Linked DNA regions of Canis lupus familiaris. Each later gene encodes a partner of the first gene's protein in a complex. Links are inferred from orthologs where the notes say so. Each region holds a gene or a part of one and is shown in the gene's direction. Other genes may lie near its edges.

Region 1 (3,748 bases):
TCAGCCAACTATTCTTCATGGTAAATGTTTTAGGTGTCAGCCATAAGGTCTCTGTTGCAACTACTCAACACTTCTGTTGTAGTGCAAAAGCAGGCACAGATAATATGTAAACAAATGTGCATGGCTGTGTTCAAATAAAACTATAGACACTGGAATATTTCATATAATTTTCATTTGATTTTATGAAAATCATCTTTTAAATTGAGATAGACATATTCCAATATTTTTAAGGGTACAAGGTAATGATTTGGTATTTGTATATATTTCAAAATGATCACAAGGAAGTCTAACATCTGTCACTATACAAATTATTAATGTTACAAATTATTTTTTCTCCTGATGAGCACTTTTAAGATCTACTCTGATTATATGAATTTTACATAATTTTCACATCATGAAATGCCATTCTTATTTTTTAACCATTTAAAAATGAAAACAAACAACAACAACAAAAAAACCAAACACACCAGTCTTAGCTCACAGGCCAAATGAAAACACGTGGTGGGATGTGTTTGGCCTGCCGCACCCCAGCCAAAGAATCTTTAAACACGGTGGTTTCCATTCCAACACCCCCCACCCCGCCCCGCCCAGCCGCCAGCCCATCACAAGTAATGTTTCAAGGACCATGTCGATAAAGTCGTTTTCTCTATTAAAACTCATCGTATCTATACTTGAACCTCATTACCTGTCCTCTTAAGCACTGCGCCTTGGTGAACAATTAATTGCATTTTGTTGAAATCGGAAACCTGAGAACAACCCTCATCATCTGCACCCAGCCCCTCACCCCCCCCCCCCCCAGCACATCCCACGGGTCGCTGAAGATCTGCCAAGTCGGTCTTCTAAGCAAGTATCTTAAAGTGCTTGGGGACTTTTTTTTTTTTTTTTTCCCTTAAAGAGGCTAGGACTGGGGGAGCCCAGGGTCTGAAGGCAGTTCTGACCCGTGTCAGAGGACGGGCGGGGAAACTGCTAGAGGCCCCGCCCGCACTGTGCGCGCATCTAACCTCGTAGCTCCCCCGCAGCCTCTTGTGAAGTCTGCACCCGTATAGTAGGAATGGGGGACATATTCCGGGGGCCCCTGCCTGCGGGGGTGCGGGGTTGGGAGCCAGGACCCGCCTTCCTTCTGGGAGGGAAGCACCAGACGAGTTCTTCTCAATCTGCTCGGGAGGCTGCGGGAACCCAGGGCTCTCCCGGAACCTCTTCCGCTCAGGGAGGAAAGGTAGGGGGAACGCTAGTCTCGAAGGACCCAGGGTTGCAGGGGGACCTTTTAGCTGAAGGACTGCCTCGTTTCAACAAGAACTTTATGGCTCCCGGAAGTGCCTCCTCCCAGTTCTTTCCCAGCCTCACACCCGTGGGCTGCAGTTGGAGTGATGGCGGCTGCAGCCGCTGGACCTGGCCCGGGGTCTGGAACTGGGGACTCTCCGGAGGGGCCCGAGGCGGAGGCCCCGGAGCGTCGGCGGAAGGCGCACGGGATGCTGAAGATTTACTACGGTCTCTCGGAGGGGGAGAGCGCGGGGCGCCCCGCAGGGTCGGACCCCCTGGACCCGACGGATCTCAACGGGGCACACTTCGACCCGGAAGTGTACCTGGACAAGGTGTGTGTTTGTGTGTTGGGGAGAACCAGGCCCCGGACACATCGCACCCCCCAGATCATGCCTTCGACTTTGCTGCGGGGGTGAGGGACGCAGGGGCTCGTAAAAACCAGATGACCCTAGGGCAGGAAGCAGGGGCCGAGCTGGAGTCTAAGGGGGCGTGGGCAGATTTGGACGGGCCGGAGCAGGTGCGGGGTGCTGATGTCCTGGGCTGATGTTCTGATAGGCCGGGGCGTGGGGCGTGGGGCGTGGGGCGTGGCCCAGGCGTTGACAGGCTTAGGGGTGGGCGGTGGCTGAATCTGAGCGTTTCAAAGGCTGACAAACCCCAAATAGAGTCGAATCTAGTAACTCCTGACCTATGGCACTGATAGGCTCTTTGTCTAGTATCTCTGCCAGGAGTGGGATGAGAGCTTTCTTGCACCCAAAGCCTACCAGGTAGGGGCAGGCCTGAGGGACATGAATGCCCCTGCCCTGAGCACTACCACTTGGATTTCCTCCAGCTGCGTCGGGAATGCCCCCTGGCCCAGCTGATGGACAGTGAGACAGACATGGTGCGACAGATCCGGGCTCTGGACAGCGACATGCAGACCCTGGTCTATGAGAACTACAACAAGTTCATCTCAGCCACAGGTGATTCCCGCTGGGACACACCCATCACAGTCCCGCCTGCCTGTTGGTCTTGTGTTGGGGAGTCGGGGGAGGAGACCCAGATTCTATTTTTTTTTTTTTAAATTTTTATTTATTTATGATAGTCACAGAGAGAGAAAGAGAGAGAGGCAGAGAGACATAGGCAGAGGGAGAAGCAGGCTCCATGCACCGGGAGCCCGATGTGGGATTCGATCCGGGGTCTCCAGGATCGCGCCCTGGGCCAAAGGCAGGCGCCAAACCGCTGCGCCACCCAGGGATCCCGAGACCCAGATTCTAGTCCCTCCCTGACATTTATCCACTCCCACCTCTCAGAGCTTTTGTGGTCAAATGATGGTAGCTGCTCTCAGAGGGTTATTCTGAGGGTCAAAGGGGAGAAAAAAACAAAATGAAAACAATTTAAAGGTTTTATTTGTTTATGCATGAGAGACACACAGAGGCAGAGACATAGGCAGAGGGAAAAGCAGGTTCCCTGGGGGAGCCCTATGTGGAACTCGATCCCAGGACCCCAGGATCACAACCTGAGCTGAAGGCAGACACTCAATCACTGAGCCACCCAGGCATCCCAACAAAATGAAACCTTAAACTGAAATGGGTTTATCTGAACCACTTAGAATCCCTGACACTATCGATGTCTCAGTAAGGGTTAGTTTCTCTGATTAGTGGTAGCTTTCTTCTCTTGCCCAGGTCTATCTTGAGGGTGGGCTTGTCTCTGTCTCTTTCTCTCTCTCGCTCCTTTCCTTCCTCTATCCCTTTCCCCCTTTTAAATTAAGCAAAGAGGGGGATCCTTGGGTGGCTCAGTGGTTTAGCGCCTGCCTTTGGCCTAAGGCGTCATCTGGGAGTCCTGGGATCGAGTCCCGCGTCAGACTCCTGGCATGGAGCCTGCTTCTCCCTCTGCCTGTGTCTCTGTCTCTCTCTCTCTGTCTCTATGTCTATCATGAATAAATAAATAAAATCTTAAAAAAAAATTAAGCAAAGAGACACAATATATGACATTAAGGGACACAGAGATCATGAAAAGGGTTTTTTTTTTTCCTTCTCCTCCTGCCTCCTTTATTCTCTGTCCAGGACAGTGCTAGACAGGGTTCAGCTATCATTCACACTAACTACTGTCTTATGTTGGTGAAATGCACTACTCAGACTTTTTTGTGATAATTTTGGACTCGTGTGTACATAGTTCTAGAGGCAGATCTCGAATGTCTACTGGTGGTCCATGAGAATGTTGGGTGAACCTTTGTGAGGCTCATTCTGACATCTCTTACTCTACTAGTGTCACAAGGTTGGGTGTAGCCATTGTCCTTTTATCTGATTTGAAACAGGTTCAGTGAGTAGGCACCTCTTTATTTGCTAATACCAGCATCAACCAGCAAGAAATCATAATTCCTAGGGGCGTCTGGGTGGCTCATTCAGTTAAGAGTCCATCTCTTGATTTCCGTTCAGGTCATGATCTCAGGGTCATGAGATGGAGATTGAGCCGGGTGTTGGGGCTCCATGCTCAGGGGGAGTTTGCTTTT
Region 2 (3,721 bases), on another chromosome or scaffold:
CAGCAGCTAAGGTGATCTGGTTGGGACATGTCTCCTGGACCCTTCCTCACTTACAGCTATCCTGTCTCATTTACAGGCTCCGTTCCTTACCCTACCTTACCTTAATTGCTGTGATGGCAAAGGCTATTTTCCGCCGCCCATCGATATTGGTGTTAAGTACTCGCAAAATGTGCTGGAACTTCTCAGGGATCACTAGAGACTGGCAGAGACAGGGGGAGAAACAGGACACCGTCAACCACCATCAAACAGTAACGTCAAGAGGAACGTCCGGGTTGTCACACCGGGAGCAACAACCCTCCCCCCTTCAGTCCCGCTCGCAAAACCTTAAGTGTTCAAGCTCGGGAAAACGCAACCTCTGGGAGGGGGCAAGTCTTCTGCCCGTTCCCAAAAGTACACTGAGAGGCGGAGACCTCAGGTCCCCATTCACGCCCAAGCCTTTTCGCCGGTTTCGAGTGACTCTTCCTCTGGCCTACTCCACAGAACTGGAAGTCCTCAGTCATTCCTTCCCAGGGGTGCGCTCCAAAGATTCACACAGAAAGTTGCTAACCCCTAAAACAGGGCGTTTTCTGATCCCTAACAGCAGACTTTCCGTGTCCCGGTTCCGATGTCGCCGGATCCCCGCACGAAATCCACTCTTACCATGGCAGCAGCCTCTGCAGCGGCGTGCGGGCCTCCCGTGGAAGAGAGAACGGAAGTGACATACTAGGCTTATATAGCTATCAGCGGAAGAGGCGGAGCGATCACGCAGGAGCGCTTCCGGAAGCCGCTGGTGCCAGAACTAATTCAACTATGAGAATCTCTCTTCTTTACCAGAACTTCCGGTGCGGCCTCTCTTTACATGTTCGTAAAGTCCTTAAGAGGGAGAGCAGCAAAGGTTCCGGGGTGCGATTGTGCTTCAGATATCCAGTTCCCATTTGCAGTTGGGTCAAGTGGTTAGGGCTGAAAGGGGAAGGCTGGAGTCCAACAACTTAATTCAAATATCTGGGAACGATTTCGCTCTCTGCAAGACCCTCTAGGATTTGTAGGTCCACCCCAGGGACGGACCTACGGCGACTGGACAGCTGCCGGAAGTGAGGCTACGCAGAATGGCAGCTGCTGCGACCATGGCGGCGGCTGCGCGAGAGCTGCTGCTGAGAGCCGGGACCTCGGATATGGAGGAGGAGGAGGGCCCGCTGGTGCGGACGTGGGGCTCTTTCTCTCCGGAGTCTTGTCCGGGGGTCCTCGCGTCAGAAGGGCCTGGGCTGGGTTTAGGCAGAAGAGTGGGCGAGCGGCTGTTAACGGTGATGCTCCCTGTGTGTTTTTCCGTATCCGTCCTTGGAGTCGGGTCTGAGTCTGCCCTGGAGTCAGAATGGCCGACTCAGGTGCCAGTGGCAGAATTTCAGTTAACTTCCAGATCTGAGGGCAGAATACAGCGGCAGTATAGTGTAAAGGTTAAGAACGTGACTATGGTCAGATCGCCTGGGTTCTAATTCCAGCTTTGCCTCTTGCACGCTGTGTGTCGTTGGGCGGGTTAATCAGTTTCTCTGTGTTATACTTTCCCCACGTATAAGGTGAAGGAAATGATAAGACTTCACCGTAGAAATTGTTGGTTATGATTAGATGAATGAATGTATGAAAAATGGCACCTGGCCCGCAGGTAAACACTGTTAGCTGACATTTCTAGAAGGGCAGGTGATCCCCACAGGGATTGTGATAGAACACCTAAGATAGCAGGAGTCTGGGGATCCTACACTCAGCTGTAAGTTTAGCCCTGTCCTCTGCAACTCCTCCTTTACTCTTGTGGTGACTTTTGAGTCTTTTTGTTATATTCCCTACCTAGGAGCCCCAAATAGCAGATTGGGGACAGTGTGAGACTTTTGGAATTTTTTGACCCAGTGCCCATGGCTTCCCAATAAAAACCCAGCCCAGCCCCACCTTCCCCAAACCTTGAAGGTCTGTGGATTATCCCGTTATATTTGTTCTCTCTCTCTCTCTTACTGTGCCCTTTCCTGTTGACTTGTCCCTCTCCAGGGGGGTGGCCCTGGTCTTCAGGAGCCATTGCCACTTGGAGAATTGGACATCTCCTCTGATGAATTTATTCTGGATGAAGTGGATGGTAAGTGATGGCATGAGGTGGATGCAAACTGCTTGTGATCCAAGAGGTATGGTGCTGGAAGTAATAAGGTGGGGAATGGTGTACAGATGTTCGTTTGCGGGAGCTGGACCCTTATGATAAATTTCTATTTCCAGTTCACATTCAGGCAAATCTGGAGGATGAGTTAGTAAAGGAAGCTCTTAAAACGGTGAGGCTTTCTGCTGTACTGATTTATCCCTCCTCTTACCCTCCCCTCAAAGAGGAAAAAAAAGGACAGTCTCTCACTCTTACAACATCACCCTGGTGTCTCACCTTCTAGTCCTTTATTGATTCTTTCTAGGGTCTCTTCACTGCCACTTCCTCTTAACCTGTTGTGTTAATGTTCCCCTAGGGTGTGGATCTCCGTCACTATTCAAAGCAGGTTGAGCTGGAACTACAGCAGATTGAGCAGAAATCCATTCGAGATTGTATCCTCCAGTAGAGAAAAAGGGTGATGTTATTAAAATAGAGATTTTGCGGAGCATGGTGCATGCAGCCCAGCAGGGGCTGACATCTTCTCATGGCAGTTTCTGTCATCTCTGGGAAAAATGGGAATAGTCCCACAGGTCTGAGAATCTCCAGCTTTATGGTGAGGCCCCTTGACTTTTTGTGGATTAGATATCCAGGAGAGTGAGAACATAGCGTCTCTCCACAACCAGATCACAGCCTGCGATGCTGTTCTTGAGGTTAGTAACCATGACCTGTGATCCCTCTTAACCCTGAACCAGATCATGGTCTGGTGTTGTTCTTTAAGTCATCATCCTCAGGTGGGGATAGTTAGATTCACGTTCAGGATGACCTTAGCAGACCTTTTTGTTGCTACTGCCATAACTAATGTTATTTGCCAGTGACCTTTTGGGTACTTCTTACCTCATCACCTACCTTCGAGGACTGATACTGAAGACTTTACCAATAAACTTAGGTGGCCCATTTGTCCCTTGCCAACCCTTTGGTGCTCCAACAACATCTTCTGTCCTCCCCCCAGCGCATGGAGCAGATGTTGGGAGCTTTTCAGAGTGACCTCAGCTCTATTAGCTCTGAGATCCGGACACTGCAGGAACAGTCAGGAGCCATGAATATTCGGCTTCGAAACCGCCAGGCAGTTCGGGGAAAACTTGGGGAACTTGTCGATGGTCTGATAGTGCCCTCTGCTCTGATCATGTAAGTTGCCATTTTGAAGAGTTACAATGTCTATAGCAGGTAGATGGTCTAGGATGACCTACCACATGGGTCTCCTGGCCTCAGCTCTTCAAGCACCTTCCAGAAACTGATGGGTGGTTGACAACTCAACCTTGATGCATGCTTTAGGCATCAAAGATTAGGAATATCCAGAGTCAGGCATTTAGTTGGGAGGTTTAGTTGGGAGGTTTAAGGCTTTATGGACGTGGGATTGGGGGAGGTTCCAGGAACAGGAGACTTTGTACACGTATCCTGACTATGTGACTTAGCGTGTGAAGGGAGAGGTGACAGGCTGGATGTAAGGAATATAGTTTGGGACCTACTGATGTCTGGGTCTCCCTCCTATAACCCCTTCCACCTGTCCCTGCTACCCAGGGCAATTCTGGAGGCACCAGTGACAGAGCCTAGGTTCCTGGAGCAGCTGCAGGA
Region 3 (3,648 bases), on another chromosome or scaffold:
CACATGACCAGTGGTATGTATGGCATTTAAACCTTAAGAATTCCCACTTAATTCTAGAAACACGGTCTGTAGGATTCTCATAGGTGTGACCCCTCAGATCTTTCCCATGACACATTTCTGGTCCTGCTTTCTGGTCAGAGAAGGACACTAGTGTGCATGGGCCTCATCTGCCACTGTGGCCTTCACCTGAGATGTGGGCTTTGTGTTCTCCCATCCCATGAGGCTGGTGGTGGTGAGTAGCTTTTCTCCTGGCGGATCAACTCTCTTTGCAATTACAAAATCCTCTTATTTTTTCTATTTCCTTGCAAGAACAGGGAACTTTTTATAAAACAGTAATTAAGAAGCCAGTTACTGTTTCTCCCGGACTGGCTTTCTTTTATTGAGAAACTCCCACCATTTCTTTCTTTTTCTTTTTCTTTTTTCTTTTTTTTAAAGATTTATTTATTTATTTATTCATGAGAGGCACAGAGAGAGAGAGAGAGAGAGAGGCAGAGACACAGGCAGAGGGAGAAGCAGGCTCCACGAGAGAGAGAGAGAGGCAGAGACACAGGCAGAGGGAGAAGCAGGCTCCACGCAGGGAGCCCGATGTGGGACTCGATCCCGGGTCTCCAGGATCAGGCCCTGGGCTGAAGGCGGCACTAAACTGCTGAGCCACCGGGGCTGCCCCACTCCTACCATTTCAAAATAAGATGGCCTTGCAGATCTAATTTAAATGGTTTTCCTTTAAATCCGTAGTGGAATACTCCAGCGGATTTGCCCTGAGATGGGGATGAAGAAGTAACAGTTTTCAAATCAGTCACTATATAGGAAGATATGTTCCAATGACTCGTTTTTGTTTTGTTTTGTTTTGTTTTTATTGCAACAACCCACTTCCCCTAGTACATTAGAAATAATATATTTTAAATCAAAGAAAATCCAGTATCTCCTTTTTTCTTTAGTTGGTGGGGGTGCTTGGTGAAGGGAGAAAGGAACTAAACTTGAGGTGATGTAGGTGTTCTTGAACCAGAGCACCCAGCACCCCACTGGAACCTCCCGTTTCTTGACGCCTCGTTCTTTGGGTTTCCTCTCATCAAGTCTGTGTTGCAGGGTCTAATAGTTCAACCTTTTGAGCTGAGACTTCAATACAAATGTATATTTGCTTTCCAACAAGTCAATTCATAGTCAAGTTCTAGAACAGTTGTCTGGGGCTCAGCTTCTTATCTGTAAGGGAAAAAAAAGTAGGCTGATGCCTGCCTCTCAAGATCATTGCGAAGATTAAATGAAATAATAGTAATTAGTGTACAGATGTTTAACAGTGTCTCCCATATATTACTACTTAGTAAATGTTTGGTTTTTTAAAAAAATACAAAGCAGAATATGGCCCTCCAGGGCAAAGGACCTGTTATATCCAAAATAGAGGGAGGCTCGGAGCCAGACTTTTAGTTCCTTCTTTCTCTCCAGGGACAGATAACTTGATGCTGTAGCAAGTCATTGCCTAAAAGCAGGCACCAGCTTAGTTCATCTTTCACACGCTTCAGAGAAAGGTTTACAAAACCTTCTTCCTTCTTCCTCTCTCTACTCTTCCACCTTCAGCCCTCTACTTTGAAAAAGAAAGATTAATGAAGTATTATATAACCAGTTTAAACACGAGGCCTCTCACCAGTGTATGTATTACTCACAAAGTCAAGTAGCTACTTCAGCACCAGTTTTGTTTGGGGAAGAGCAAAGAACAAAGATGCACTGTGTCTTTGTTTCTCAGCATTCCGGGTATGAATAATTTAGAAAAGTACTTGCATTGTGATAAGCCGTTCAGTGTGTATAAATAGCACTGAGCCTTGCTTATGCTTTATTCTCCTTTAGCCTAAAAGAAAAGTTTAGGGAGCAGAGTAGGGACTTCAGTTACATTTGTTTAAGAAGAAGAGCCAGGAAACCAAGCATTCAGCCTGGAAGACCCTTCAGTTTGGACAGCTTGCTTGTGGTTTTCATTTTAATCTTTGCTCACTCGCAAAAGAAAGATTGTGTGAGGGTTCCCGCTCCGTGGTGCTGGCTTCAATTTGGCAACAAGGCAATTGGTATTTGTCTCTGTTCTCCTCCATCACTTTTGGGCAAGTTCACCACCTTTTAATCTGTGCCTAAAGTATATTAAGTACACACGGCAGTTGGATTAGGCGTTAAGTGAGCACACATGCTGAATGATCTTGAAGAGCCAGGATCTGGTTCCTTCCTCCCTTCACCAACCACCCCCACCAACTAAAGAAAAAAGGAGGTACTGGATTTTCTTTGATTTAGAGCCAGAACACTTGCCCTCCCCGTGGCTGGCTGCTCCACAGCAGAGGTCAGCCAAGATGCCACACCTGCCTTTGTGAGTGACCCAAGTAAAGTTTATTCTTTTGAGTGGATACAGGGGTTTTCTTCCCTCACTTTCCAAAATTCTGTTATCTTTTCTCTCTAGGGCAGAAAAATATACTGGAAGGGGAAAGAAACCTGCCATTAGAATTCTCTTTGTTCCTGTCTGACTTTTTGAGGCAGGTCTTGAACATGCAAAACTGGTTAGGCTTTTCCCTTGAGAGCACAGAAGCCTTTGGGTAGTACTGACACCTTCTGGGGAGAAGTCAGCTGGGGTACCAGCTCCCAGAGGTTACGTGGTTCATGCTCTATCACAGCAGCTTAGCACTTCGGAGGAAAGTGGCTTTAAAAGAGTGTTCCTGGGTTGTGCTGGCCTGTGTGACCCAACTTCTTGATGAAAAACCCCCATTTAATGGAGTTGTGGAAGAAGTGACTGGAGGTGGGAGGGGATTGGGTAGAGGCTGATGGAAAGCCAAAAAGTGGACAATTGGTTCAATATTGGGTTTAAGAATGCAGGACAGGGGGAGGGGCAGGGATCTATATGAGGTTGGGGGGTGCTCAGGAAGCAATTACCTTGACTGTTTTGTCTTGGAGGAATATCGACTAATCATTTTATTTCCTTTAAAGATTTTATTATTTCTTTATTTGACAGAACGTGCGCACTCACCAAGCAGGGGAGGGGCAGGGAGAGGGAGAAGCAGGCTCCCTGCTTAGCAGGGAGCCTGATAGGGGCTTGATCCCAGGACCCTGAGATCATGACCTGAGCTGAAGGCAGACACTTAACCAACTAAGCCACCCAGGTGCCCCTTGACTAATCATTTTAATGAGAGTGTTTTTAATTTATCGTAAACATTTTTAAATATATGAAAAAATGCTCGATACTCAAGTTTTCTTGGCCAGTGAAGTGACAGTTAAACAGATTAAAAATATTATCTGGGGTGCTTGGGTGGCTCAGTCGCTTAAGCATCTGCGTTCAGCTCAGGTCATGATCTCAGGGTCCTGGGATCGAGCCCCGCATCTTCTCCCTCTCCCACTCCCTTTGCTTGTGCTCTCTCTCTGTCAAATAAATGAATAAAATCTAATATATATATATATATATATAATCTGAGTAGGTTGATTCTGCCTCCCATGCCCATTGGACGAGTCCTTGTTCAGGTACGAAACCAACAGACTTGGGATCTTTGCCCTTATCACACTTAACTGAGTTTCTAGCATGTCTGAAGTAGAATAAAGTGATCATGACTAAGAAGGTACTTGCTTTCCTTATTATCAGTTGGTGGCAATCTATTGGCCAGTTCTAAGATTTTGCTATCCATGACATTT

What was found.
Region 2: VPS51 (region 1) and VPS52 share a complex: the UniProt entries of both Homo sapiens proteins name them as parts of the endosome-associated retrograde protein (EARP) complex. The link is inferred for Canis lupus familiaris from reciprocal best matches to the Homo sapiens genes VPS51 and VPS52.
Region 3: the proteins of VPS51 (region 1) and STX6 are in contact, whole or in part, in a crystal structure (PDB 4J2C), measured with the Homo sapiens proteins. The link is inferred for Canis lupus familiaris from reciprocal best matches to the Homo sapiens genes VPS51 and STX6. Residues at the interface, in NP_037397.2 of Homo sapiens: Ala33, His34, Met36, Leu37, Leu39, Tyr40, Tyr41, Gly42, Leu43; in NP_005810.1 of Homo sapiens: Met3, Glu4, Asp5, Pro6, Phe7, Val9, Val10, Glu13, Trp59, Asp60, Asp63, Leu64, Glu66, Thr67, Ile70, Val71, Phe78, Arg88.

What each region holds. Positions count from the first base shown.
Region 1 is NC_049239.1:52,609,376-52,613,123, reverse strand, and holds the start of VPS51 (vacuolar protein sorting-associated protein 51 homolog), read left to right. Parts: upstream 1-1,279; 5' UTR 1,280-1,367; coding exon 1,368-1,592; intron 1,593-2,089; coding exon 2,090-2,219; intron 2,220-3,748. UniProt on the Homo sapiens protein: Acts as a component of the GARP complex that is involved in retrograde transport from early and late endosomes to the trans-Golgi network (TGN).
Region 2 is NC_049233.1:2,864,992-2,868,712, reverse strand, and holds the start of VPS52 (vacuolar protein sorting-associated protein 52 homolog), read left to right. Parts: upstream 1-813; 5' UTR 814-1,085; coding exon 1,086-1,175; intron 1,176-2,010; coding exon 2,011-2,095; intron 2,096-2,229; coding exon 2,230-2,282; intron 2,283-2,465; coding exon 2,466-2,541; intron 2,542-2,731; coding exon 2,732-2,799; intron 2,800-3,098; coding exon 3,099-3,274; intron 3,275-3,667; coding exon 3,668-3,721. Other genes in the region: RPS18 (40S ribosomal protein S18), read right to left, coding at 101-199, 640-642. UniProt on the Homo sapiens protein: Acts as a component of the GARP complex that is involved in retrograde transport from early and late endosomes to the trans-Golgi network (TGN).
Region 3 is NC_049228.1:14,328,776-14,332,423, reverse strand, and holds part of STX6 (syntaxin-6), read left to right. Parts: coding exon 1-13; intron 14-2,431; coding exon 2,432-2,568; 3' UTR 2,569-3,648. UniProt on the Homo sapiens protein: SNARE promoting movement of transport vesicles to target membranes. Targets endosomes to the trans-Golgi network, and may therefore function in retrograde trafficking.